Arabidopsis thaliana: one gene and its partners. The protein of the gene in region 3 purifies or fractionates together with the protein of the main gene of each other region. This does not show direct contact. Each region holds a gene or a part of one and is shown on either strand. Other genes may lie near its edges.

Region 1 (7,197 bases), on a different chromosome or scaffold from region 3:
TCGATTGGTCAAAATCGTAACAGATTACAGAACTGAGACATCTCTTAGACACGGTTGCAATGACATTCTCAAGGTACAAATTTAATGTCACCAATGTCCCTCTAATCATATATATCTGGAACAGACTCCAGGGAATTTGACGTGTGGGGGTTGTTGTACAGACGGATATTGTTAATCTTCTGGTCAAATGCTTCAACGAGGCTAGGCGTGGGGTCTGCCTGAGCCATGAAGACGACGATTCCCGTGCGAAGAGAGAAGACAATAATCGCTCATCATTCTCGCAGAGAATGGTAGTAGATAAATCTTTGAGCATAAAGATGACAGAAGTGAAGTCGAAGACACGGGGGGACACACGGTGTTGTATGTGCTTCGACCCGGTCTCGATAAGAGGGGACACTGTAGTGGTCTTCTTCTGCTGCCATGCTTACCACGAGACGTGCCTCATGGATGCAGCCTTCAGTAACAACAATCACAAGACAACCAAAGGTTCTTCGGGGTATGAATATAGCTACGATAACGGTGTGGATGAGGAGGAAGAGGATGAGGAAGAAGATGAGGATGGTGATGGAGACAGACCTGGGCGGTCGCGTTTACGGTGCATATTATGTACTACTGCCGCCGCTGCGTCCGCTCGGTAGCGACCCCTTTTGTGCATGTGTTTGTGAAGTATTTTTGGTGTGCTTCGAACATATATATATTTTTTTTTAAAGAAGAAAATGTTCATTGTTTGTTCTGTAGTTCTCTAAAATATAGCAAAAAGAGAAAGGCGAGAGATGGAGAAAACATGTGTGCCAGAATTTGTGCCTTTGTATTATTTCCCGATGAGTGGCCAAGTGTTACGATTGAATTGACTTTGAGTTTTTTACAAAGGCCAAGTTTGTTTCTCTTCCTTCTCTTTACGCTTAGTTTCTAAGCCCATACCTGAAACATTTACATTTTTTTTTTTGGCTCCTCTGTCCTCGATCTACAAAAAAATCGTCATTTCCGATAATTCCATTTTCAGTGTACTGCTTCTTGTTGTTTGTCGTTTAGCAGAGAGTAAAATATATGTGACAGCTCTCTTGTTCTTTGATCTTATGATCTTATTTTTGTTTTGGTCGGCGATCTTGTCATCTTTTTTTTTTTTTTTTAAATACATGATAGCTAATTCACCGTTTCCTATGAGTACGTTTTTTTTCTGAAATATAGATTGGGAAACAAATTTTGTAAATAATTTTCTATAAGTGTATGAGCACCTATGCTCTGTTTTTCTTCTTGAGCTGTAATGCTCTGTTTTTGTAGTACTATTTTATTCTATGTTTCTAATAAAAATGTTTAGACGGCAAAAAAAAAAGACAGACCTTAGGCATTTCTAATTAAGGTATATATTCACATAACACAGCAACACGAGCAAAAGCCAAACTAACTCGTTTATTACAACCAGGCAGATATAGAAGTGAAGTGTGGAATCCGCCAAAGATATGTAACATATAAAGAAAGCCCCAATGTTATAGTTTGCACAAACCATTCCCTTTTTAGTTTCGGACAAATACAAGATATAAAGCTTCAAAACAAAGGAATTCAAAAACATTAACAGTAATACTATATAACAAGGAAAACGTAAACTAGAATCAACCACCATGATATATCATTTGTTTAGAATGGCCTAAAATAAGGGAAGAGAAGGTTTCTGTTGGGAGAATTTTTTTTTTAAAAAGAAAGAATGGAATCGTAGCCACCACATGATTTGAGGTGTTTGTAAAGAGAGACGACCTCTAAGATGCGACTGGTTTTGAAGTGGCCTTCTTAATGGCTTCCGCATAAGTCGTGTGCTGGTATGTTAAGGTCGATTCAAGCAAGTCCCAAAGCGACGTCTTCGGGTTCCATCCTAATTATTGTCCACACCAGAGTATTTATTAGAAAAACATTGTGACTGTTAGAAAAGACTAATCAGACAAGAAAAGAGGAAGTTACCAAGTTGACGGTTGATGATGGTCATGTCTGGGATTCTCTTGTCGCTGTCATCATAACCTTCTCCATAAAACTCTTTGGAGCTCACGTCGATCGTTGGACTCTCGATAGCTGTCTCTCCACTCACTTTGGCGTAGACCTGTCCATTTTTTGTTTTGCAACATTTGAGCGTGTGCTATAATAGTTTTATCGAAAATCACTCAGATTCTTATCTATGACCAATTTTTCTCACCTCAGTCATCATTTCAGCAAGTTGTCTCACTGTCACTTCATTGTTTGGGTTGCCTACATTGAAGATATGCCCATTGGCTCTCTCTGGATTTTCCTGGTAAAGAATTCCGCAAGCAATTCAGATGCAACTTCTTTAATAATATAAAAACAAACGATATATCACCAGGGATAAGCAATGAATGAAACTCACGATCATCAAAAGGACAGCTTCGATAGCATCTTTGATGTAGATGAAGGTTCTCTGTGATTCTCCACCATCCACAAGCTTGAGAGGCTCCCGTCGCAGAAGATTCTGAAAATACCCACCAAAAAGTTAAACAAAAAAGTTAAGCTGCAGCCATGAGAAGAACTCAGGTCATTGGACTAAGCCTGTATACTTACGTTACTAAAGCACGCTAGAACCCGTGGGACACCCTCGCTAGGACCATCAATGCCAGGGATGAAATCCATCCTAGGTCCAATCCAGTTGAATGGTCTTACAATGGTGAACTCGAGTCCATTCTCAGCACCCTCAGCTGCAACCAGAAAAAAGTGACGTGAGAAACTTTTTTGTGTCTAGAAACAAAAAATTTCTTTCGTGTAAGAAAACTACATACCGTAAACAAGTCTCTCAATAAGTTGCTTTGCACAAGCATATGACCACCTCTGCTTCTCAATTGAACCAAAGATGCAAGGGGATATATCTTCTTTGAGTACATAAAATTCAGGATCCTGTAGTAAACAAGACGAGCATCATTGGTGAGTAGTGAAATAATAACAAAACACAGAGACAAAAGTAGTAATAAGAACCACGTGACACGAACGAATATCTACTTGACATAAGAAAGTAAGGCAAAAAGTAAAACAAAAGACTCTCATGCAGTAGTTAGGGCTCAAAGCCATACTCAGGTAATTGCAGGAAAACAAACTACATTTTCTCGATATTACAAACACTATTAAAGTGGATAGTGATAGGCTTATTATAACAAGTTTACGTTACTCTTTAGATCAGTAAACAAGACTTCATATAACAACAATAACTGCATTAGTATATAAATTTCCGTATCAATCTTAAGTGAGTGTGCCAATGTACATAATTAACATAGTTTCCTGATCCTCTTGATAACGACAATCAGCAAAAAGTGATGCATAAGACAAATGAAATGATCAGAGTGAAAAAGGGAGAAAAATACTGACCTGACGCAGAGGATGATCCTTTGGAAGAAAGCTTCCTATAGTTTTTCCATACACTTCACAAGTGGAAAAGTGAATCAGACGCTTGTTGTTCTCTGAGCAGTATTTAACCTACATACCAAAACCAATGACCACTCAATGTCACAACTAAAATCCGTATCACATAAAAATATTCCTCAAACTTACAAAATTGCTCCACTAAACCAAACAAACTGCAAAAGCATAAAATACATACCACTGGGAGAGCATCAATGAAATTGCTGTAGATAGTGTCAAGAGGACGCGTATTGTAATCTGCTGGAGTACAGATCGCAGCTAGATTTATCGTCTGCAAAATCCAAAACAACAACAACAGATTAATTAAACAAGACATCCACAATTCGAAATTCGATTTCACATAACGAATCAGATCTGAGTCTTCACATTCAACATTTTCACATTAACGATTTACTAAGAAGAAACGAAGAACAAATACCAGATCTGCCATCTTGATCAGTCCTTCAAGTCTAGAATCATGCTTAATGTTGATACGATGAAACTGGATCCGACCAGCCCATTGAACGGTATCAGGCTCAAGCAAGTGCTTGATCTTATCATTGTAAACATCAAGCGCAAGAACCTTGTGAGGAGTCTCCGTCATAAGCTTCTCACAGAGATGAGAGCCAATGAAACCTCCGGCACCGATCATGCATATCGTCATCGGCTTAATCGGTTTACCGTCCAGATCCAATCTATCGGCTCCGTTCGCCATATTTTGATTGTGTCGGTGAACACGCGTGATCTCTCTCACGCTTCTACAGAGATAACAATGGGTGGAAGAGAGATTTGTGAGAATGGGAGAAAAGAAAGAAAGAAATGAGAGATGGATATTTAAAGGCGTATAATAATGTTCCCTACACTCTCACAGCCTTGCACATTACTCCCACCACGTGAAATTAATGTTTTCGTTACGTGTCATATTCTCTCTTAAGTCAATTATTATGAATCTGCTGATTGTTCACGTGAAATCTATTTTAAAACTAGTAGATTACAACTACAGTATATAGTTTCAATTTTTTTTTGGGTATGTTTGTTGCTTTACACCGACATGTAAAATTGTGCTAATTCGTCGGTGGCCTTAGTGGTAGATAGGAGGTTGATTAAACAGAGAAACGAGAGAAGTGGTGGGTGGGTAAGTAAGAATTAATTAGTGTGATTAAATTACAATAATATAAGCTTACAAAGTCCAACCATAATTGGTGGAGTGAATGCTAAAAGCTACTACAAGAAACGAGCAAAAAGGTGGACAAGGAAGACTACTAGTTGTAACAAGTAATAACTTCTATTAAAACTCTCCGAACCGCTTTCTCTCCATTGTCCTGTGTTTATAACGTCTTTGCTTCGTCCTCCTCTTGATGCTGAAACATTCACCTCCAGAGAACCTGGAATGGAATTTCATTATCTGCATTTGTATTCCAATTTCGTTATTGCTCTGTGGTAAAATAGATAACACACTCACAGTCGTATTCTGCCCATCCAATACGTTGGCGAACTAGATCGTAGACCACCACTTTGTCTTTAAGAACCAAATCTGCAAAGCAATCACTCATTGAGAAAAATAGCTGCACTGTTACAGTTTCACTTGATTGAGTTAACAAACAAGAGTAGTTACCACCAAGAATTGTTATACGACGATGAGACATTCTCTGGAAACCAATGCACCATATTGAACTTCCTGACTGAAATAGCAAAAGAAAAATTATCATATCAAATTTTTCAAACTGTAAACCTTAAGAGAAATCCACACCCAAAACAATCTGTTGAGACATCCTTATAAACCCAACGTCCCAGCCCTCACTAACGGCTCGCTTACAAACCCCTAACACCTCTAATCTGCTAGATACAGTCTTAGGCTAGATATAGTAGACGTATAGCTAAGAGTTGAGCAGCTAAACTTTTTCAAAGCTTATCATTGACACACTAAAAGACAATTTATGAAGTAGTGTAAGTGTATGAATATGCTTACACTAGAAAAAATCTGAAGATATGCACGGGGTCCTAAGACCATTGATGCACCACCAGCAAAGCTCAAACTAACTTGGGGAAAGACATCAACGTCACTGCAACATGGAGATCTTTTTAGCACTTAAGCATAGGAGATAATAGCTTCTTATATATACATACACATGAGAAGAACTTTACCCAGCTGTGATTTCAAAGCATTGGTAACTCTCATAGGTAATGGGACGCCCGTACTGCGAAACAGCATTTGCAACCTGCAGGTTGAACGTTTTATAAATCTTCTTTTTTGTAAGGTCTAATAACATATATCGTCTACATCGAATTGTAATTTCATTCCAAAAATGTAACATTTGAGGACAGATACTTTCAACAATGGCAAAAACTACTGAATATGGTATACACGGTTTGGTGACTGAAAAAGCTGAAGGTGAACTGAGGAAGAAAAAAACACTCACAGCTTGGATGAATGGACTATAAGCTTCGTCGGGAAGATAAGCAAGAGTCGTTCCCGTATCAATTATCGTTCCATCACCAGTGGCTATTGTGAAAACAGATGGATCAATCGGTAATATCTGACCGTTCACAGCAATGCTCTGCAGGTTCACATTATAATGTGGCCTGAAATATTTTTTTGCAGCATATTATCTGAATCAAGACGTGGGTTTATATATTTTGATTTTCCTAACCCAAGATATACGAACTGCATATTATTTCCATAGAGTCAGCTACAAAATGTCTATTTCTGGATCATATGATTCCTACAAGCAGAATGATATAGCAGATATTGTAACAACTCTCGCATTTATATCTGTGTAAATGACTTTCATAATCATCAGTTAAACCCTGGATCTACCTCCTTGTCTTATACAAAAATAAATCTAGGAATCCTACCCTAACATTGAAGTCTGATTCATCATGATGTTAAGTACCCCAAAATCTACCTGTGCTTCTCTTTACGTAATATGATAAGAGTTTAAATGTATAATAGAAAGATTGAGAACTCACTGTGATGGAACAAGAGGAGTATAGACGGTATCTGGCCTCTTGATTTGACCTAGAACCATTATACCTCCACCGCTTTTATCTCCCTTCAGACAATGCGAGAATACTCGTGGCGCGAGTCCTTGCACAGCAAGCTGAGAAATTACTGATAAACTCCCTTGTCCTAACCCAAAGATGCCATCTACTGCTCTTCTAGGCCTCTGTAAATCTCCAGATTGTAAATTGCTACACCTGTTAGCAATATTGAAGACAAGCATCACATATTTTGAAAGTTGAAACAGTACAGAAAAGATGATTTGGAAGTTAGATCATATTGTACTTCCTGGTAGATGTTAATTACTTAAACATAAAACTAATGAGTGTATTTGATAGGCAGAAATATTGTTTCTCATTTGGCCAACATTTTCTCCCCCCCGAAGATGCAGTCATTAGTTAAATTTAGAGAAGGCAATGCACCATACTAAAGAAATCATCATTATCGAAAGGGGATTCCAAATGCAAGATAAAACCTATGGGATATGTACATATATATAAACCCCACGTAAATACACAATTCTTTGCTGTTAGCTTACCCAAAAACAAAGGGAGCAGAGGAATTTATAGCCAAGGTACTGGTAATAACAGTATCAAAGGACATGAAATCTGAGATGTAGTAACCAGAAGTGCCACTTCCATCACCGTACTTAAACGAATAGGAACAGAGATTGTTGGGAGAACAGCCTGATTCTGTCTGGAAATTTGAGTAACATCTCCTGTCTGAACATGAAACTAATGAAGCTGAGGATGACACTCCAGGATCAAAGAAACTTAGTTGAATCTGAAAATCCAAAAAAAAAAAAC
Region 2 (6,746 bases), on a different chromosome or scaffold from region 3:
TGCAAGTTTCTCTCTTTGTGTAAATCCATGATTGATATTGATTGTGTTACTTGTTGTAACATCTCTTAGGTTACCCTTGGTGACGTTGAGAAGGTTAAAAAAGATGAGACTTTTGCCGTTTATGTGAAGATTGGTGATGATGAGAATGGGTTTATGATTGGAAATCTCTCACAGAAGTTTCCTCAATTTTCTATTGATCTCTACTTAGGGCACGAGTTTGAGATTTCTCACAACAGTACAAGCAGTGTCTATCTTATTGGTTACAGGACCTTTGATGCTTTTGACGAACTATATCCTTTCTTTCATTGTCTTTTTCTAGTTAAATTCATACTCACTTGCAATTTTGAAGCTTTGTTTGTTTATCCTTGATTTTGTTTTGCTCTGCTTTTTTCTGATGCTCACGGATGAGGAGATTGATTCTGGTGAGTTTATAATTCTTTAGTTGATGATTTGGTTTACTCTATTATGAAGCTTGAAGCTAATCTTTTGCTTTTTGGTTTGTGTAGATTCTGAGTTAGATGAATATATGGAACAACAAATTGGTATGTTTACTTTTTTTACTAAGCTACTGCTTTGTGGTAGTCATATTTACATGTGTATCTCTTATGAAATCTAACTTTGACATTGTTGAAAAGCTGCTTTGCCTCAAAATGAGATCAATCCTGAAGAAGATGATGAATCCGACTCAGATGAGGTAGATTTTTCTTTTAAGTATTTACTGATTAGCAATGAATCAGTATAAAAAAAAAGGTAATCTTGTTGTTTTTTTCTGTATGTTTGGTTAGATGGGTTTGGACGAGGATGATGACTCTTCAGATGAAGAAGATGTAGAGGCTGAAGCACCTTTAAAGGTGGCTCCTCCGAGCAAAAAGATGCCAAATGGTGCATTTGAGATAGCTAAAGGTGGAAAGAAGAACAAGTCATCAGGTAACGAAAACTAAAGTTAAGATATATAAAGATAACTTTGCATATGAGATGAGAATTGTGGATTATTGATTTGGTTTAAAACCATTTTGGTGCAGGAGGGAAGAAGAGATGCCCATTCCCTTGTGGTCCCTCTTGCAAAAAGTAGAAGATATTTGCACACCAAGTCACATTTTTCCAATAGAAATTTTTACTTGACTGTATTGGTGAATCGTTGAGTGACTTATGAGGCTTTTGGCATCTTAAAATTTTTGGATTATTATAATATATGTTATGTTGTCATTTTGGAGTGTTAATGGGTTTAAATGAAATATGATTTTTGCTCTTTTCAAGTTCATAAAATTTCGAAGTTGCTGGCTGATTCATGATAAGTACTATACAATGTCGATATGTTATGATCTAATCTTGATCGCAATACTAAGTAGATGGAGTATATTAAATCAGAAATAGTTGAACTAGAATATGCTCTAACAATGTATTTTATGTACATGAGTTAGAAAGAAAGAAAAAAAGACTCATTTTCTTCTAGTTTGCTTTGCCTTCATTGAATTAAAAATTCAGTGAAAACAATTCAAAATATAAAAATAATGATAATGCGTCTGCCGGGAGTCGAACCCGGGTCTATTGCTTGGAAGGCAATTATCCTAACCGTTGGACTACAGACGCTACTTGTGATTTATATATTACAATTTAAAAATAAAATCGAATTTAATTGTCGAGCGTTCCAAAACTACTAGACTTTCTTTCATACTCTGTAGTCCACTTGTTTTTTTTCTGAACGAAACACAATGTGTTACTTGACAGAAGATAATTACATTTGTTCTTGTACTTGTACACATGTAAAACGAAGCATTTTAAAATATACACTCGAACATTTATCATTCGCTACAAACGATTAACCTCTTGCTTTCTGACAGCTCCGACATACATGGCCAAACAAACCAAACAAAAAGAGAAAACTTACAAACGAAAAGGTATACTTGGAACGAACCACCGTGATTATATCGTTTTCTTAAAAAGAAAAAAGAAAAAAAGTTTTCTCTGGGATGAAAAAAATAGAATCGAATAGAGTAAAATGCCAAAATGACGCGTGTTTAACGAGTTTCGTTGGGGTCTTGGAGAGTTTAGGAAGCCACTGGTTTGGATGTTGCCTTCTTCACAGCTTCAGCGTATGTCCTGTGCTGGTAGGTTAAGGTCGACTCGAGCAAGTCCCATAGCGATGTTTTCGGGTTCCATCCTATTTTCAAAGTCCAAAATTCTATCAGAATAGCAATTGATTTTGATTTTAAAGCATATTATCTATCATGTTGGTGATTATGAAGAATTACCGAGTTGGCGGTTAATGATGGTCATGTCTGGGATTCTCTTGTCACTGTCATCATAACCTTCCCCGTAAAACTCTTTGGAGCTAACATCAACCGTTGGGCTCTCAATGGCTCCTTCTCCACTCACTTTTGCGTAAACCTGAAACATGATTCGTTTTGAGAATTGAGAACCAGCGACAGAGAAATCAAACTATTTTCATAGTTTCCTAACTGATCCATCTTCCTCACCTCGGTCATCATTTCAGCGAGCTGTCTTACTGTAACTTCGTTGTTCGGGTTGCCTACGTTGAAGATGTGCCCATTTGCCCTCTCTGGGTTTTCCTGAACCACAAACATACAATGTCATTATAGGTTTTAGTTGAAACTACTTCGAACTTCTAACATTAACAGTTTGTAAACAAAAAGCTATATATCAGGCAATGGAACGTACAATCATCAAAAGGACAGCTTCAATAGCATCATTGATGTAGACGAAAGTTCTCTGTGATTCTCCACCATCTACAAGCTTGAGAGGCTCACGACGTAGAAGATTCTGAAAGATAGATAGAGATGCATTAACTAAAAGCTTGCATATATACACAGACTAGCATTGGGTTATATACTTGGATTTGAACACTTACGTTACTAAAGCAGGCAAGGACACGTGGGACACCTTCGCTAGGACCATCAATGCCGGGGATGAAATCCATCCTAGGTCCAATCCAGTTAAAAGGTCGTACGATGGTGAACTCAAGCCCATTCTCAGCACCCTCAGCTGTCACAAGAAACAAGTGAAGTTAAGTGTAAACCTTTTGTTTTTACCAACATCATCTTAAACAGAAATGCTTACCGTAAACAAGTCTCTCAATCAGTTGCTTTGCACACGCATATGACCACCTCTGCTTCTCAATTGAACCAAATATGCAAGGGGAAATATCTTCTTTAAGAACATAGAAAGCAGGATCCTGTAGAAAGGCACAACAAACAACATCAGTAAACAGTGAACCCAACCTTAGACGAATAATATCAACTATTCCAAGCTTCTATGGGTGTGTGATAGACTAGCGGACTAAAGTCTTAATTCAATTCAAAAATACGTTTAACGAGATCCAATGAGTAATTCATAATGTGGCTATTAAAACGAACGAAAACGTCAGCTTCAACATGTTCCTCAGTACATTCATCGATGAGATTGATAAAAAGACAATAACATGTGGAAAGCGAAATGTACAAAAAGGCATTACATCACGCAGAGGATGATCCTTAGGAAGAAAGCTTCCAATGGTTTTTCCATAAACTTCACAGGTAGAAAAGTGAATGAGACGCTTGTTGTTCTCAGAACAGTATTTCACCTAACAAAACCAACGCATTACACAATCATCACTGTCTCCATCAACTTCAAAAACAAGAGCTAAAGCAAAACAATGAACGAAGCTAAGAAGAAAACACATACAACTGGAAGCGCATCAATGAAATTGCTGTAGATAGTATCAAGAGGACGTGTATTGTAATCAGCTGGAGTACAGATCGCAGCAAGATTTATAATCTGCGAATCCAAAAAGAAACATCAGAATTACATCACAACATCACCGATCTCAATACATTGCGAAACATCTGAATTCCGATAACGAATCAGATCTGAGACTTCTATCATAAACACCGAAGAACAAGAGATCAAAAAACGAAATCGATAAGCATTTTTACCAGATCCGCCATCTTAACAAGACCTTCAAGTCTCGAATCATGCTTAATATTGATACGATGAAACTGGATCCGACCACTCCATTCAACGGTATCAGGCTCAAGCAAGTGTTTGATCTTATCGTTGTAAACATCGAGCGCAAGCACCTTATGTGGCGTCTCGGTCAAGAGCTTTTCACAGAGATGTGAACCGATGAAACCTCCGGCGCCGATCATGCATATTGTCAACGGTTGTATCGGTTTCCCGTCGAGATCCACTCTATTAGCTCCATTCGCCATTTTTTTTCTCAGATCAGAAAAAATAATCAAGTTCTCTGTAGAGAGAGAATCTAAAGAGGAAGAGAGAGTGGTGACGGTGGATATTTAAGAGAGAAGATGCATCGCATGTGAACGGAGGCAAATTGGTTCGTCGAATTTTGAAATCTCACTCTCTGTATCGGCGCGTGGTGTGTACTCGCTTCCACGTGATCTCGTTTAAATTGGAAAGGATGCGATATTTTATTTGTTCGACTAATCATTTTGTATGATTATTAATTATGAATGTTTAGTAGTCTAATAATTGTGTTTAAGAGTTAAGAAAAAACTTCTTTTTAACTAGATAAATCGTTCTTTGTAACTTTCGATTTTTTTTTTTGGGTAAGCCAAGGGAGACAAAGTCTCCCAAGATTTATTAATGAAAAAGAAAATTACATTCGCACTTGACGTGAAACCGTAGCTCCACTAGTGTCATCCAACAAAATAAAACGTAAAGAATCCGGAACCAAACTAAGAGAATGAAAACCTAATGGTAACGAAAATGCATAGTTGGCTAACCCGTCAGCAAGACGGTTAGCTTCCCTATAAACGTGTGAAATACGGACTCTCCAGTCCCTTGATATGAAGTCATGGCACAATCGTACCAGGAAAGACAGCGGATGTACCTCGTTTATCCCTATCTTCAAAAAACCCACAACAATCTCTGAGTCCACCTCAATCTCTAACCGTGTGACTCGTCGCTCCCAAGCAATGTAGAGGCCATAGTACACTCCCCATAGCTCTGCCAAAGGTGCTGAACAAACTCCAATGTTCAGAGCAAAACCTCCTCTCCAAGCTCCTTCCTCATCTCGTAGCACACCACCAGCAGACGCTAAACCCGGATTACCTCTGGAAGCCCCATCCGTATTAAGTTTCCACCAACCTTCCTCGGGTTTCGACCACGCGATCAGTCTTTCCACCCGTTCTCCATGACCCCCACTCAGTGTCCTGACTATCACATGAGCCATGGACGTCTCCCTAGCCAGATCCTTTAAGAAACGCACCCGATCTCGACATTTGTCTTGAACACCAAAAATGTTGCCACACCGCCATTTCCAGGCCCACCAAATAGACAAAGCAAATAAAGTTGACCAAGTACTCTCACAAGTCTTCCGCCTATCACCCAGATTAGCAAACAACCACTCCAATAACGATTGTGTAAAGAACTCTCGGCGCTTACCCGCAGGAACTAAGCGGATCCAAATGCCTTCCATAGCAGGACAATCACGAAGAATATGTATGATTGTTTTTTCAGCTCCTTTACAGATTTGGCAAATGTCCGAATCACTTAGATGCCTCCTCCTCCTCTCAGCATTCGTCATCAGAACTTGCTGCATTCCAAGCCATAGGAAGAGCCGCACTCTCTCCGGTACCACGACTTCCCATACTCTCTTGTAATTTCCGATTGATATCAAGTCAAATTATTAATTTTTATATTGAAAAGACATTTGGAGTATTTTTTTTGGGTTATTATTTCTGATAAAATCAAATTTACATTGAGAAGAATGGCTTTGGGGAATCAATACAAAAAGTCTTTTCTACGTAGAAGAAAACTTGACCCAGCAACATTAGAGATTCCATTTTGCATTACGAAACTTAAACTGGTTAGGAAATAATTTAATTATTTGCCCAAAAAGGGAAATAATTTAAACAAAATATGATTTTATTGACGTTATTTTAATTAAGCTTCAGTCTTAACTCTTAACTCTTAAGTAGTTTCTTAAATAGTGTGTCAAAAAAAAAAGTAAGTTTCTTAATACTGCTTCTAATTTGCATGTCGTAGTATCAGAAGTTTTTTCAACAAAAAAATCATTATGAAGAGAGTTTATATGAATATCGCTAACCATTATGTGGAATTGTGGATAATGGATAAATTTTGAGAACTAATTGGATTCATGTGTTGCCTCACAGTGAGCTGACGACCGTTCGATCATTGATATACATACACATATGATGAAAAAAAGATGCTAATTTCTCGTTGCTTTTTTTTTTTGGTCTTTTCAAAAAAGGATTGAGACAAAAAAAGAAGAGAAAAAATGATGAATAATTAGGTACCTTTCCGAGAAGCAAAACCCTCGAAACTCTCATCAAATATCCTAACCATACCTTTCTTTAAAATTTGGATTTTGCACAAATCCATTTACAAATTTAATTACTTTTTCTTTTCGTAGGTATATATTTATTTATACCTTTATAAATATATAACTTTATAGGAAGAAGTATCGTATAGTACTACTTCCTACTCGCTATACAATAAATAATACAATGCGAGGTTGTTTGTTTCTTATCACAAAGTTGTACCCTATGCAACAACATTCATATAATCATCCTTTTCCCGAGCATTTTGACTGATCAATGCTTCAGTGCTTCTTCATTATCATACAACACGTTCCAACCAAACTTGAATCATGTATTTTTCCCAAATCCCAAGTTACACCTAAATGATACCAAAGATTACAAATACAACTAAACATACTCCTAGTTTTTTCTTATGGAAAAGGAAAATTAAGAACACTAGTTAGA
Region 3 (7,727 bases):
ATTAGGGAGACAGAGCACTAAGTAATAATTAGGGATTCTTGTAATAAAAGGAAAATATGAGATATACTTAACAAATAATTAAGGACAGATAGAGGAGCCGGATTAATAGGGAAGTTCACGTGAAGGCACAGCTTAAACCAGCTGAGCCAAACACATATACTAAATTCTCATTCTCACAAACAAAAATCGTGGGTCCAATCTTGATTATGTGGCTGTAAAACCTAAAAACATAAACTATTCACATGAATAAGATTTTGATTAGACAACAGTCTTACTTTTGTCTCTTCCTCTATAAGATTAATCTGACCCTTGAGCCACTCAAAAACAGGTATGTCTATATTCATTTCCTAATGTGACATCTACACACATATTATCTCTTTTTTTTTTAATCATGTGACTGTAGAAACTGATTAGTAAATAGTAATAGGAAAACAAAATACTTAGTATAGAGTTATATAGAGTATAGAGAGAGGGATGGGTCCAAATAGTTGATGATGGACCATGTGAAAAAAACAATGAAAGCCCACACCATTAATTGTGGTAAAGGATGAGAATCTAGTGTTGTAGTTTTCCATGTCCTTAAACGGTTAAACCTATCTTCTAACAAAATTCTCCACCTTCCCTTCTGACATCTCCCATCACTTCTCTCTTAATTTATTCCATCCATTCCACCAAATTTTTAGTTTCACTTTTTTTACTGTAGTGTGTTTACACTTGTGAGTGAGTGAAAAAGTAAAGCTAGAGAGGTTACTGTTTTGAGATGCTCTTTTTAGAAAGGGCCATATATAAATGGTAGTGTAGTAGTACTAGTGGAGCTTCTTCATATACAATTTTGACTTCTCTTCATTGAATGTAGGAGAGAGGCTCTTTACATCATAAATAAAACAAGAACACAGCTTTCAGAGAGATAGAGTGAGATTCTCCTTCATTAACATATTCTTCTTCATGTTATAAGAAGAAGAAGAAGAAGTGTCCAAAAGGATTAGAGATGGGTGGATGCACAAGCAAGCAAGAGAGGAGAGGTGTGAGAAGTGTGAAGGAGACATCAAAAGACCAAAGCAGAGGAAGAAGACACCTGATAAAAGAGAGAGATGAGAGAGAGAAAGTGATGTTTCTTCAGCTTAAAGAGGCGGAGAGAGAGTGGAGAAAAGAGAGGAAGAAGCTGAGAGAGGAAGTGAGAAGACTAAGGAAGAAGCTAGAGGAAAGAGAAGAAGCAAAGACAACAACAACAGAGGAAAGAGAGTATTGGAAGTGGGTGGTTGAGGAGATGTGTGTAGAGAGAGCAGTGAGAGATGAAGCCGTTGAGAAATGGAAACAACTCTATTTAGCTATCAAGAATGAGCTTGATCATCTCATCTCCCACACTACTTCTTCCTCCGGTAAAATAAACTCAACTTATTTCAACTTAAAATTAGAAAAAGTAAATAGGATCTTTAAAGTGTGTGTTTGTAGGAGAAGCAATCATGCAAAGGAAACTTGAGGAACAAGAAGAAGAAGAAACAGAAGCAAAGAGAGTTGAAGTATTGAGAGATGAAGTTAGAGTTAAAGAAGAGACAGTTGAGACACTTGAAGAGCAAATAGTTTTGATGGATAGACAAAAGTATGAGAAAGAAAGAGAGATTGACTTATTGAGACAGAGTCTAAGGATTCTTGGAAGCAAGAAGAAAAAGAAGACAGGATCATTCGCATCAATGAATCTGTTGATATTGAAGACCAAATGTGTCGAATGTACATAAACACTTTTTACTCAAATAGTCTTCTGCAAACAGTCATATCTCGTCAGAGAATCTTGATCCACAATGTCATATTTATTTCTCTTTTGGTTATTTTACAATTTTTATTTTGGAAATATAGTAAATCATAGCACTATGAGTTCAAAAAGCACATGTCCCATGAAAGATTTGCACAAATCGTTTTTTTTTTTTTTTGTTGGAGTTAGATACAATTCTTTAGCAATAATGATAATGAACCATTTTTCCAAAGAACAGAAACTGTGGAAAAAAACTTACTAGACACTAAAAGTCTAAAACACCACTTGCTTTTTTATAGCCCAAGAAACTTCTAGTTCTAATTAAGAATGTCCAACTTCCGGTTCGGTTACTGAAAATTATCAAATTTTTGTTAGATGAGATAAAGAAGTGAATCCTACAAGAAATATATCATGTGGTTCGGTTTGGTACAATTTTGATTTCTGCTAGGGTTTTATCCTTTTTAGCAAAATTTACTTTAATTTCCGTAGTAAAAAAGAAGAAGTTTTAGTTGGTTTATTTCTTATTTTTGCTTCGATTACGGCATTTAATTTTAGCAATATTTCATTAACAAAAAAAAACAATTCTAATTGGTTTATTTCTACTTCTTTTTCTGTCTTGGTTTGATCTCTATTACTATATTGATTATGAAAAAAATATGAAACCAAAACCATTTATTATGTCTTCAATTCCATTTTTAACCCAATTATTTCACTACAATTGTAATAACCGGTTATTGCACCCCTAATTATAACTATTTAAGCAATCGCATATACCAAACCAGCGAGTTAAACCAAATTGTTTCCCAAATTATGCTAAACGACAGCGTTTTCACAAATTACCAAAAAAACCTATTTTTCTGTATCTATCTGAATTCAGAGTCCTGACCATTTTATCTCACTCTCACAAAGTCTTCACTTTTGAAGTGTCTCCTCCACACGCACTGCGCCGCCAAAAAACCCTTCTTTAAACCCTTTCCTCCTCGCGCCGTCATGCAAGCCACCATCTTCTCTCCACGCGCCACTCTCTTCCCCTGTAAACCTCTCCTCCCTTCCCACAATGTCAACTCTCGCCGTCCCTCAATCATCTCCTGCTCCGCCCAATCCGTAACCGCTGATCCTTCACCACCTATCACTGACACCAATAAGCTCAACAAATACAGCTCAAGAATCACTGAACCCAAATCCCAAGGTGGGTCTCAAGCAATTCTTCACGGTGTTGGTTTATCAGACGACGATTTGCTAAAACCCCAGATTGGTATCTCGTCGGTTTGGTATGAAGGGAACACTTGTAACATGCATTTGCTGAAATTGTCTGAGGCTGTGAAAGAAGGAGTTGAAAATGCAGGAATGGTTGGGTTTAGGTTTAATACTATTGGTGTGAGTGATGCTATTTCGATGGGAACGAGAGGGATGTGTTTTAGTTTGCAATCTAGGGATTTGATTGCTGATAGTATTGAGACTGTTATGAGTGCTCAGTGGTATGATGGTAACATATCTATTCCCGGTTGTGATAAAAATGTGAGTTTTTTTTTTTTAATCATCGATCTTTGTGTTGTCTTTATCTCCATGTTTTATGTGATTTGTTTGCTATAATGTTATTGTTGTAATACTTTTAGATGCCTGGAACTATTATGGCTATGGGAAGGCTTAACAGACCAGGGATTATGGTTTATGGTGGAACCATTAAGGTACTTACTTTTATCAAATTGATGAGAAGATAGTTTCTTAAACCCTAAACCCTTGTGCCTAGTTGGATAGCCTATTCACCTTGCTTTGATATTATTGCAGCCTGGCCATTTTCAAGACAAGACATATGACATTGTATCTGCTTTCCAGGTATCTTTTCTTCTATCTGCTACGAGCTTGGTTATAACAATTTTAATGTGTATTTATGAGACTTCATTGAGTTTTCCAATTTTGGGATTGAGTTACAGAAATCTTGGTGACTTTGGTGTCAAATTGTACCAGTACTTGTGGGATTCATCATGTTTTCCAATTTTGTATTTCAGAGTTATGGAGAATTTGTTAGTGGCTCCATAAGTGATGAACAGAGAAAGACTGTCCTCCATCATTCATGTCCTGGAGCTGGAGCCTGTGGTGGCATGTACACAGCGAATACAATGGCTTCTGCTATCGAAGCAATGGGAATGTCCCTTCCTTACAGGTGAGGCTTTCAGTCCTGAAGACCACATTTATAAATCAACTTCAAACGTTTTCCCAGATTTGTGCTTAATAGAAAGTTATTTCCACAAGAACATTGTAGATCCTAAACTGTAATTGTGGAATGCTTATTTCAAAAGTTCATATATTTGCTTCTTCTTTTTTTTTTGAAGTTCTTCAATACCTGCTGAAGACCCATTGAAGTTGGACGAGTGTCGCTTAGCAGGAAAATATCTTCTAGAATTGCTAAAGATGGACTTAAAACCCCGTGACATTATCACTCCAAAATCACTTCGTAATGCAATGGTTTCCGTCATGGCCCTTGGGGGATCGACAAATGCAGTATTGCATCTAATTGCTATTGCAAGGTGACAGATTGTTATGATGTTTCTTATTATTACCATGGAAAGCAATGGACCGAAGTAATGAATGGAAATGATTTCAGGTCTGTTGGTTTGGAGTTGACTCTTGACGATTTTCAGAAAGTTAGCGATGCGGTTCCATTTCTAGCAGATCTTAAACCCAGTGGGAAGTATGTTATGGAGGATATACATAAGGTAAGGCTTTGGCGAAATCGTTTTGCTTATTACTTATCTGTTTTTTTATTGGTCAGTTTGTAAGTTTTGTTGTTTAATCTACAGATAGGTGGTACGCCAGCTGTTCTCCGCTATTTATTAGAGCTAGGATTGATGGATGGTGATTGTATGACAGGTAGAAATGCTCAAACATTTTATAAACTGACTTAGCAATTTGGATTGATGTGAAATGGCATAACTACGCTTTTGTATCTCTACCAGTGACAGGGCAGACTTTGGCTCAAAATTTAGAAAACGTCCCAAGCTTAACAGAAGGGCAGGTATTTGTAATGTTATTAGTTATCTCATTAGATTCTACCGCCTGTTTCTTCTTGATTATGATGGTTGTTAGTTATACAGGATTCTAATTAATTCTGATAATGTTCCAGGAGATAATTAGACCTCTGTCAAATCCAATCAAGGAGACTGGACACATACAAATTTTGAGAGGAGACCTTGCACCAGATGGTTCTGTAGCAAAAATTACCGGCAAAGAGGGCTTATATTTCTCTGGTAATGTTGGTTCACTCTAGTACCTCCTTTACACTCCATATTTAGCTAATGCTTCTGAATATTAGGGCTTATATGATGGAACTATTTATTTTAGGTCCTGCACTTGTATTTGAAGGAGAGGAATCTATGTTGGCTGCTATATCAGCAGACCCAATGAGTTTTAAGGTAATTTCCTTTCTGATATGAAGTTCATCTCAGGAGCTGGTTATATATCTTTTATCTGATGAAATGTATCGTGTTTCAGGGAACTGTGGTTGTTATCAGAGGAGAGGGGCCTAAAGGAGGTCCAGGTATGCCTGAGATGTTGACACCGACAAGTGCAATAATGGGTGCCGGTCTTGGAAAGGTATGATATGACCAGTATGACTGGGTTAGTGAGACATTTATTAAGTCTGATCAATTTTTATGTTCTAAATTAAAGAACTCGTTATTTTTCCTTTGATATGGTCTGACTATATTATGCTTATGGTAGTGACCTAAATCTTTTTATCTACTTTGTCCATATCCGAGAACACACCTTATATAAAGTGCCAATATGTTGCTATTGGGTGATGCAGGAATGTGCATTACTGACTGATGGTAGGTTCTCTGGTGGGTCACACGGTTTTGTTGTTGGCCACATTTGCCCTGAAGCTCAGGTCTCTCTCTCTCCCTTTTTTTTTTCTCTCTGCCCACTGGCTCCATCAGAGCAAAATTCTAAATTTTGCACTTGCAAGATAAATTTGATAGATCCATGTCCCTCTTCTGGGATATTTTTCTTGTGTATTGAAAAATAAATGCTACTGGGTCATAGTCATATATAGTTTTAGCAAAAAGGAACAAGGGTCAAGGGATCCTGTAATAGTTTGTGGTGGCTCTTATGCAGTTATGATGATTTTGGAATATTTCAAATAATAAAACTGATATTAATGTGATTGGAGAATGTGAAGATAATAATGCTGAAAGCAATTCTCCGGTGTGCTTACTATTTATCTGTGCAGGAGGGTGGTCCGATCGGTCTGATCAAGAACGGAGACATAATCACCATTGACATAGGAAAGAAGAGAATAGACACACAAGTCTCACCCGAAGAAATGAATGACCGTAGAAAGAAATGGACTGCTCCTGCATACAAGGTTAACCGCGGAGTCCTATATAAGGTACTATACGAATCCACTTGTATCTATATAATGTATGTCTCTTTGACATCTGATGGATTAGTTTCTAATGAATGGTTTATGATATTCTAAAAACAGTACATCAAGAACGTGCAATCGGCTTCAGATGGATGTGTGACTGACGAGTAAAGTGAACGATCTAAGAGAGAGTTTTGTGAATGAGCAGCAGAATGTAGTGTACGTTCATGAGGGAATTTGTAAGTTTATTTATTGTAGCTTCTAGATCATGTTACTTTGTGACTGATCATTAGCTATTTGCAGGGTTCGTTTTTAAGATTTTGTTTCTCTTAAATGTCAAAATAAAAACTTGTGATTGTGGCCGAATTCCAAAGAATATAAAGACAGAATAAAGACGGATTTGCATAAATACTTGTCTATGAGATTGAACTTAAGAGCCAATGTGGCAAACCAGCTATGCGTGAATAAGCTTGACGTTCTCTACATGGTTTAGAAAGATGTGAAATCCACTAACCTTAAAGGCTTGGGTTCCTTGGATTTCAAGTCTTTTCATCGTCTTTCTCTCGTTTCTGTAGGAGACAACATAAGGGTCATAAGAATAGTAAAACTCGAGCATGGTAATTAATATTTGATTCGACCAATTTATATCAAGGTGCAAGTATTTGTCTCAAAGGCTCGAGCATGACATCTCACAGAATTGTAAAATCATTCACATTTGAAATTTGATATCAAACTTAAAACAGAATCAATATAAACTAATTAGAAGGCTGTGGACGAGGGAGACGGGACAACCAACGAGGGAGAACATACTGTGAAGCGAGGAGAAGGTTAGGACCACCTTGAAACGATGGGGAAAAGTATCTATGAACGGTCTCCATATACTCGTTGCACCAGTTAAAGCTCAAGGTGCAACCATCCATACACTTCCTCTCGTCTTCGGATTCCTTGTGAAGACTAAACACATGCGTCCTCAAGTTAAACAAGACCATACCTTTCTTGTTTCTGCTCCACAAGTAGATGATCTCAGACTTCAAAGGATGCATCACCACCGGGAAGTAATCGATACCTAGCTTGGTCACAGACGCCAAGCTGGCTTCCCAAAAGAGCTGCCACGCCTCAGGACCATCAGTGTACTTGACCAGCCTCCAAACCCGTACTTTGCGGTTTGCGTTCCCACCAAACTCGTTGAAATACACAATAGACCCTTCCGAGGTAGTGATTGTTCTCCGAAAACGCGGTAACTCGTAATCTTTTCCATTATCGGGGAAATAAATGATACTACACGCATCATGATGACCTCCATAGAAATCGTAAGCTAAAAAAGAACCGGTGAGGTTGGAAAGCCAATGAAGAATCCCATTTAAAGCAATGGACTTGTGATGACTAAACCAATAGGCAGAATGAAGACAAGTCACATTTTTAATTTCCCATTCCCCTGTGTTAGATGAGTAAATCGCAAAATCGACTTGAGCAAAAGTGTGAGCGATCAACCACACAACCTTGTAACTCACAACAATACCACTTTGCATCTTTGTAACCAATCCACTGTCGCTGAAACGCTCGTGGTTCCTTAATTTCTCAACATTTTGAGAAGTGTATTTAGGACGGAGAGGG
Region 4 (7,251 bases), on a different chromosome or scaffold from region 3:
ACTTGCTTTTGGATTTCCTTCAGCTTTGCCCTTGATCCATTTTCAAACATATTTAGCAAAGATCCAAATTCTCATAGAGAGCACTACCAACTCTAAAACGTGTTCTAAATGTTTTGCAATTGCATACCCGAAGAGTATGACCATTGCTATAGCTTGATAGTCTTGCATCCGTTCGGCTATGCTTTGGATGCTCCTCTTCTCTAGTAGCACCTGCAATGAATAAACCATTACCAAAGGAAGATCTAACCACGCTCATGAATGTTCTATCAATACTTCATACACGATTTGCAAGCGGGATTTTACTTGGTTTAAGGTAAACCATTCTCTACAAATCTGAAAGTGGGTATGAGATTTTAACTAACTGTGTCAAGGAATAAAGGGTGATCATCTTCCAGGTAGACGTTGTTGATGCTCTTATAAAACTCGAAATCCCATTTTTCGCCATTAGCGTGACGCCCGCTTGTGATCCAATCCACAAGGACCAGATTGGAATCTGAAAGCAATCTAAAGATCTGTTTCTGATAGTACCGGGCAGTGGAGAAGCAAGTCACTGGATCTGGTATCACAACCAAAAGAGCTTCACTCCCGATTCTCGCCTACTGCACACAACAAACCGAAAGATCAATCAGGAACATGAATCAAAGAAAATGGTCCTATTCTATTGCAATAGCACTCTGTTCTACTAAGAAAGCTCAAAATGATTTTAGTAGAAATGTGAAAGAAACATTACTTCCAATATCTGTTCAGAACACTTTGATCCTATTGCCTTGTACACCTGTGTGAAATCACAAGATCCATCAACAGAAAGTCAACCACGTAGGATGAAATTAGTGTCCATTGCAAAGAGAGAGAAAAGCCCTAAATTGATTCAACCTTAGTAGAAGACTGCGTTGTAATAACTGCAGTGCATCCATCACCAATTGTGAATTCACATGAAATCGAATCGCCCTACATAATTTGAACAAGAACTAGATTGATTCAAGCGCATCGATGGCAAATTCATTAATAAAGAGACAGAGAAATAGGGAAATACAGAGACAATGCCGCCACCATAAGTGATACTGTAAATCCAGACAACGTCAGTTCCAGCAGGAGCTGCCTGAAAGTTCAGTGTCGCCGGAACTTTAATAACTAAAGATTGAAAATTCGAAACTGTGAACTCTACGTAGAGAGAGAGAGGAGACCTTGCTAGGAAGTAAGAACTTGAGAGGATACTTCGAGAAGCAGCTCGTAGCTGTAGATCTTCCTCCCACTTTCTCCACCACCACTTTCCCTGTCGCCATCTCTGATCTCTCTCCACACTGTCGTCGACTTTCTCACTCCAGTTTGAGTAGAAATGTTGAATATTTTATATGCAAATCTCATCAGTTTCTGGATGTAGAGAAAGATATGATTTTGGGTGAAAAATGTCAAATTTATAAGTAGGAACAGCTCTCAGGTTCTAATCATACATAAACTCGAACGCAATCCAAATTAATGTTACAACAGTTTTATTTCCCACTCTTTGTGTTTTGTTTGGTGGGTTTTCTTCTTCAGAAACTCTCTTGGATGTGTTTATAAGAGCAAAACTGGAGGGATGTGTCCTTAATGGCGGAAATGTCTAACGTTGGTGAAGAGCAGAGAGACTCCATACTTTTTGCAGCAATCAATAGCGTCTTGGTCTCTAATACTGCCTCCAGGTTCTGCTATCACTCCTATTCCCATCTGGCACGCCTCTTCCACCGCATCTTTCCAAGCTGCAATTCACACAACAACAAATTTCCAATTCAGAACGGCTAACATTTGTTGATTGATGAGTCATTTCAGACAGAAGAATGGTTTCGGAGAGAAAAATATATATACCGAATGGGAAGAATGCGTCACTGGCCAAGGCAGCTCCTTTAGCTTCCTCCCCAGCTTTCTTGAAAGCTATTCTCAGACTCTCTACTCGGTTTGGCTGTCCGCTTCCCATCCCCAGCATACAATTGTTCTATGAGCCAACCCAAGAATCAGAATAAACTACTAGCAAACAAGTACAGAAAGAGAAACAAGAAAAGGAATCAGAGAGGAAAATCCAACCTTTGCTATCACAATGGCATTGCTCTTGACATGCTTAACGCAGAGCCAGGCAAATTTTGCATCCGCAAGTTCGCTTTCAGTCGGAGTTTTGTCTGAGACAGAATTGAAGCTGATGTCTTCTGGAGTTAAATCGTCCGAGTCCTGAGCCAACCAGCCGCCACCAACCTGTCTGAGCGATAGTTTCCCTTGGTCATTCTTTTTAGCTTCGAGGATCCTCAAAGTTTTTGATTTCCCTTTGAGGACTTCAAGACCTTTAGCAGTATACTTTGGAGCAACCACGATTTCATAAAACATTCTAGTTTCCCCGTCTGTTGGGCTCCTGAACTCTCGGATCTCCCTCGCAAGAACCTAGAGACAGTTACAGATCACTAAACAATTGAATAATGTATGGGACAACAGTAGTTTGACTTTTGATTACCTCGTCAACTTCAACATTGAAAGCTACAATGCCACCAAAGGCACTAACTGGGTCAGCTTTTACAGCTAGCCGGTAAGCCTCAAGAATATCATCACGAGAGGCCACACCACAAGGATTTGTATGCTTCACGACTACACATGTTGGGTTTTCAAATTCCGACACACAGTTCCATGCAGCGTCAGCATCAAGATAGTTGTTGTATGACATTTCCTGCTCACAGAAATAAATAGAAAAGTTAAACATAATAAGGCTTGAAAGCGAGGATAAGGATATAAATGGCAGTTTAAAACTATTTGCTCTGTAAATTACACCGGACAGAAAAAGTAGCATACTTTCTTACCTTTCCATGATGCTGAATCGCTGTTGCGATACCACCGGCATTCACTTCAGCAAGGCTCTTATCAACATAAAATGCAGCTTTTTGATGAGGATTTTCACCGTAACGAAGAGAACTCTTAAGTACAAGCGGAACTGTAAAGCTGGGAGGGAACTTCTCTTCTGAGAAAGACATGAATATCAATCAATGTAAGTTGCCAATTGCCATAACTAGTGTAAGGAGGATCACATAAAAACAATCACATACTTCCTTCAGTCTGCTTCCATAGCCATTCTGAAACCGCAGAATCATATGCAGCAACATGCTGAAAGGCCTTCCACGCAAGTTTTCTGCGGAATTGTTGGTCGCTCTGTCCTCCTTTGAGATACTCCAAAACAGCTTGATAATCTCCTGAATCGACAACAATGAGAACGTCTTTGTGGTTCTGTTGAAAAAACAATAGAAAATATACATTTATAATCTTGAAAATAATCTTGCAAGTGTAAAGAAAAAGTCTCATATGCACAGATATATGTATTACCTTAGCAGCTGCTCTAATCATAGCAGGGCCACCAATGTCAATGTTCTCAATCCCATCCTCAAAACTGATCCCACCTGGAGCAGTAACTTTTTCATAGAACGGGTACAAATTGACAACCACAACATCAAATGTACCTGTCATAGAATTAAAAAAAAAAAAGGTACAGTTAAACATAAGGAGACACTATAAATGACTTAGTCTCAAGCTTAATGTAGAGGATCAATCAAAGGTCAAAACTCACCAATCCCATGCTCATTAAGAGCTTCCATATGATGCTCCACATCCCTTCTAGCGAGGATACCACCATGTATGTTTGGATGCAAAGTTTTCACACGGCCATCAAGCTTTAAGAGAAGAAAAAAAAAAAGGAGAGCTAAGTTTAATATACTAAACTCAACAAAACAATGGTATAAACCAAAACTTAAATATAAATATCAGCGAGATCACAAGACCAAAACTTTTAGCAAGAGCAGCGAGCATAAGAGAAAAGAAAAACATGCCATTTCTGGAAAATGAGTAAGCTTCTCCACTTTGGTCACAGAGACTCCAGCATTCTCCAAAGTAGAGGCAGTTCCTCCAGTAGAAACAATAGTGTATCTACACAAATATCAATGAAAAAAGGAATCATTTACATATAAGATAGAAACAAAACCAAAATTTGTATAGTTCTAAGTAAGAGAGAGTTGTGAAGAACACATACCCCAATTCTTGCAGACCGTTGCCAAGAGAAGCCAAGTCCCTCTTGTCAGATAGAGATATCAAAGCTTGCTTCTCCCCTGATTCAATTAAAGCCCGATTATTTGAAAATCACTAAAACGTAACTGAAAATCGATCACTGAATTTGAAATTGCAGCAAAAAGAAAAATTGTAAACCAGAGGAGCCTGAGGATTGCGGCTGATTCCTCTGAGCAGTCTGAGACTCTGCCATGGCTCGAACAGCAACGAAACTTGGACACAGCGACGTACGATAGACCTGCTCATTGAAAATTCCACTAATATTAAAAAGTTTAGCAGAACATGAAACAAAGACACAAAGGAACACGTCCACACACAGAGGAGAACTCACAGGCTGAGTAAAACGAAAAGGCGCGACGGATTTTTTGCGAAACAAGCCGCAGAGAATATCGCCGGAGCGAGCACTCACGGAGGTGGCGGTGGCGGCTGAGCTGAGCATAGTAGTCTGATTTTGAAACAGTGTGTAGTGTTGAGCTCTGTTAGGTTTTGTGATTTTGCGGCTAATTTTGGAAATAAATTAGAAAAAAAAATAAAAAAAAAAGGAAAATATGTAATTTATTATTGGCGTCAGGTGGAATTATGTATTTATTATTATGGCCTTGACAGTTAGATTACACCTGGAATATTTGGAAAATTGGAATAAAGCTTCTCTTTTTATTTCCCCCAAAAATAAAACTAAACTATTTTAACTCCAAATTTTAAAAAATTTAGTAGAAACCAAAATTCTCAAGTGTAAACTAATTAGTAAGAAATAAAACTTTATTGGATCAGAGTGGTAATATTACAAAAGACTAACTATGGAGATGACGAAAGCTTCTTATGTTTTATATGATATTTTATTTGCTTTTCAGAATTTTAAATAATGTAAGTAGATAACAATTATTTTATTGGTAGGCATAATAGTTTTTTTCTCGAGAATATAGTTTTGTTTTTCGAATTGTCAAAATTAGAAGAGAGATTTTAAGGAAGGACTTGGCTTCTTCTCCTACTCATCGATCGTCAAACCGAGGACGCTTCACAGTCTCTGGTGCCGCCTTTCCTGGTATAAACCTTTTTCTCTACTTCTCTCCTTCTTTGCTTACTCGTCTTCCTTTTAGGTGTATGCTGTTTTTGAATTTTGATCATTATTATCGAAAATCTCTGGATCCGATGTGTTTCCACCTGAATTTCGGGTAATGATACTCAGATCTTGCATTTTCTAGAGTTTCAGTGGTTTTGATGGCTTGATCGGCTTTTGTTTTTTGGTTGGGTAGAGGTTTTTAGCTCAGTTTTTGGTTCGAAATGACGCTTATTTGTTTCCTTTTTGAGGTTTGGAATTGTTTCACGGACTTGATTGAATTTTGGATTTAGTTCTATGTTTTGATCTGTTGATTTACACTCTCTCAAAGTTACGATGGGTTTGCTAATAGTTTGGTGAAGTTGATCGATTTTAGTTTCAGCGATTCCTGTTAGTTTAAACTTGAAGAGACTAGAAAGTAGTCATTTTAGCTAGTTTCATGTTGGAAAGTATGCACAGTCAGATATTTGTACTGGATGATCTGTCCCTGCTAGAGTAAAGAGTTTTATTGGTTTGTATACCGAAAATGTTCCTTAAATAGTATGGTTTTCTGAGTTTTAGCCGTATGCTATTTTGGTTTTTTTGTTCTTGAATATGTTTGACTACTTGAGTAAAGTTACTCTTCTCCTATTTCAGGCACCTCAATGAGAGTTTGAGTTGTTCATGATAGAAGTCGTCCTGTTCTGCAGCCAAAACGTTAGAAATTTGCGAAGGATGCTTATGCAAAGATTTTACTTGGGTCATGATCATGATATGTCGCCTACAAGCGTTTGTGAGGGAGCTTATGAACTAGATAGATAGACACCTTGAGAAAGAAAACATGGATCAAGCAAAAGGTTATGAACATGTTCGGTATACTGCCCCTGACCCTAGAGATGAGGGACTTGGCTCCATTAATCAAAGGTTTTCCCACGACTCTTCAACTAATGTTAACACTTATGTACGACCTCCAGATTATGGTGTTTCAACCCCTGCTCGGCCAGTGCTAAACTACTCAATACAGACCGGTGAAGAATTTGCTTTTGAGTTTATGAGAGATAGGGTTATTATGAAACCGCAGTTCATCCCAAATGTGTATGGTGAGCACAGTGGTATGCCTGTTTCTGTTAACTTAAGTGCTCTGGGAATGGTTCATCCAATGTCAGAGAGTGGCCCTAACGCTACAGTGCTTAACATAGAAGAAAAACGTCAGAGCTTTGAGCACGAGAGGAAACCCCCTTCTAGAATTGAAGATAAGACCTATCATGAACTGGTCCAGTCAGCCCCAGTTATCTCTTCGAAAAATGATACTGGTCAAAGGCGTCATAGTTTGGTTTCTTCTAGAGCTTCTGATAGCTCTTTGAACCGTGCGAAGTTCTTGTGTAGTTTTGGTGGTAAAGTTATACCCCGCCCCAGAGATCAGAAACTTAGGTATGTAGGTGGTGAAACGCGTATCATACGGATTAGCAAGACTATTTCTTTCCAAGAACTCATGCATAAAATGAAAGAAATATTTCCTGAAGCACGCACCATAAAATATCAGCTGCCAGGAGAGGATCTTGATGCCCTAGTCTCTGTATCTTCTGACGAGGATTTACAAAACATGATGGAAGAATGTATCGTGTTTGGTAATGGAGGATCTGAGAAGCCCAGGATGTTCTTGTTTTCAAGCAGTGATATAGAGGAGGCTCAGTTTGTTATGGAACATGCAGAGGGTGATTCTGAGGTTCAGTATGTTGTTGCTGTCAATGGGATGGATCTAAGTTCACGGAGAAGTTCCCTTGGATTAAGTCCTCCCGGGAACAATTTGGATGAACTACTTCATGGGAATTTTGATAGGAAGATCGATCGGGCTGCTACAGAACCAGCAGTGGCTTCGCTTACTCCCTTAGCAGGTAATGAATCTTTACCAGCGAGCCAAACTTCTCAACCTGTAACAGGATTTTCTACTGGAAATGAGCCATTTTCACAGCCTTATCTAGGACAACAATTGCAGTTCCCCGGACTTGGTAACCACCAAATTTACACGTCAGGTCACATGGCAAGCATAGGCTATATAGATGAGAAGAGGTCTGCTCCTTTACATGTTCAACCACAACCTCATTATATCCCGTATTCTGTGAATCCTGAAACACCTCTTGAAAGCC

What was found.
Region 1: the proteins of AT3G23940 (region 3) and AXS2 fractionate together in Arabidopsis thaliana (co-fractionation; one large-scale study listed by BioGRID). This does not show direct contact.
Region 2: the proteins of AT3G23940 (region 3) and AXS1 fractionate together in Arabidopsis thaliana (co-fractionation; one large-scale study listed by BioGRID). This does not show direct contact.
Region 4: the proteins of AT3G23940 (region 3) and AT2G35040 fractionate together in Arabidopsis thaliana (co-fractionation; one large-scale study listed by BioGRID). This does not show direct contact.

What each region holds. Positions count from the first base shown.
Region 1 is NC_003070.9:2,572,505-2,579,701, forward strand, and holds AXS2 (UDP-D-apiose/UDP-D-xylose synthase 2), read right to left. Parts: upstream 4,341-7,197; 5' UTR 4,106-4,340; coding exon 3,830-4,105; intron 3,683-3,829; coding exon 3,590-3,682; intron 3,466-3,589; coding exon 3,358-3,465; intron 2,893-3,357; coding exon 2,778-2,892; intron 2,697-2,777; coding exon 2,563-2,696; intron 2,474-2,562; coding exon 2,372-2,473; intron 2,276-2,371; coding exon 2,183-2,275; intron 2,090-2,182; coding exon 1,954-2,089; intron 1,868-1,953; coding exon 1,755-1,867; 3' UTR 1,314-1,754; downstream 1-1,313. Other genes in the region: VPS41 (vacuolar protein sorting 41), read left to right, coding at 1-73, 162-638; AT1G08210 (Eukaryotic aspartyl protease family protein), read right to left, coding at 4,615-4,775, 4,853-4,924, 5,006-5,072, 5,360-5,453, 5,536-5,609, 5,811-5,973, 6,361-6,588, 6,930-7,174. UniProt on the Arabidopsis thaliana protein: Together with AXS1, catalyzes the conversion of UDP-D-glucuronate into a mixture of UDP-D-apiose (UDP-Api) as the main product and UDP-D-xylose to a lesser extent, via a cycle of oxidation and reduction.
Region 2 is NC_003071.7:11,862,636-11,869,381, forward strand, and holds AXS1 (UDP-D-apiose/UDP-D-xylose synthase 1), read right to left. Parts: upstream 4,364-6,746; 5' UTR 4,209-4,363; coding exon 3,933-4,208; intron 3,775-3,932; coding exon 3,682-3,774; intron 3,581-3,681; coding exon 3,473-3,580; intron 3,194-3,472; coding exon 3,079-3,193; intron 3,004-3,078; coding exon 2,870-3,003; intron 2,782-2,869; coding exon 2,680-2,781; intron 2,571-2,679; coding exon 2,478-2,570; intron 2,389-2,477; coding exon 2,253-2,388; intron 2,162-2,252; coding exon 2,049-2,161; 3' UTR 1,642-2,048; downstream 1-1,641. Other genes in the region: HDT4 (histone deacetylase-related / HD-like protein), read left to right, coding at 70-290, 403-422, 507-542, 636-694, 786-927, 1,023-1,072. UniProt on the Arabidopsis thaliana protein: Together with AXS2, catalyzes the conversion of UDP-D-glucuronate into a mixture of UDP-D-apiose (UDP-Api) as the main product and UDP-D-xylose to a lesser extent, via a cycle of oxidation and reduction.
Region 3 is NC_003074.8:8,646,040-8,653,766, forward strand, and holds AT3G23940 (dehydratase family), read left to right. Parts: upstream 1-2,629; 5' UTR 2,630-2,740; coding exon 2,741-3,268; intron 3,269-3,366; coding exon 3,367-3,438; intron 3,439-3,538; coding exon 3,539-3,586; intron 3,587-3,759; coding exon 3,760-3,914; intron 3,915-4,083; coding exon 4,084-4,278; intron 4,279-4,355; coding exon 4,356-4,467; intron 4,468-4,551; coding exon 4,552-4,621; intron 4,622-4,707; coding exon 4,708-4,766; intron 4,767-4,874; coding exon 4,875-4,998; intron 4,999-5,092; coding exon 5,093-5,163; intron 5,164-5,242; coding exon 5,243-5,344; intron 5,345-5,555; coding exon 5,556-5,636; intron 5,637-5,978; coding exon 5,979-6,137; intron 6,138-6,233; coding exon 6,234-6,284; 3' UTR 6,285-6,566; downstream 6,567-7,727. Other genes in the region: AT3G23930 (troponin T, skeletal protein), read left to right, coding at 989-1,379, 1,453-1,736; AT3G23950 (F-box family protein), read right to left, coding at 6,869-7,727. UniProt on the Arabidopsis thaliana protein: Functions in the biosynthesis of branched-chain amino acids.
Region 4 is NC_003071.7:14,763,763-14,771,013, forward strand, and holds AT2G35040 (AICARFT/IMPCHase bienzyme family protein), read right to left. Parts: upstream 4,557-7,251; 5' UTR 4,508-4,556; coding exon 4,400-4,507; intron 4,326-4,399; exon of another isoform or gene 4,307-4,325; coding exon 4,207-4,306; intron 4,110-4,206; coding exon 4,034-4,109; intron 3,931-4,033; coding exon 3,834-3,930; intron 3,678-3,833; coding exon 3,575-3,677; intron 3,468-3,574; coding exon 3,334-3,467; intron 3,238-3,333; coding exon 3,060-3,237; intron 2,975-3,059; coding exon 2,817-2,974; intron 2,687-2,816; coding exon 2,477-2,686; intron 2,407-2,476; coding exon 2,059-2,406; intron 1,970-2,058; coding exon 1,843-1,969; intron 1,737-1,842; coding exon 1,585-1,736; 3' UTR 1,383-1,584; downstream 1-1,382. Other genes in the region: URED (urease accessory protein D), read right to left, coding at 1-30, 128-210, 363-596, 731-775, 874-948, 1,034-1,099, 1,185-1,283; AT2G35050 (kinase superfamily with octicosapeptide/Phox/Bem1p domain-containing protein), read left to right, coding at 5,946-7,251.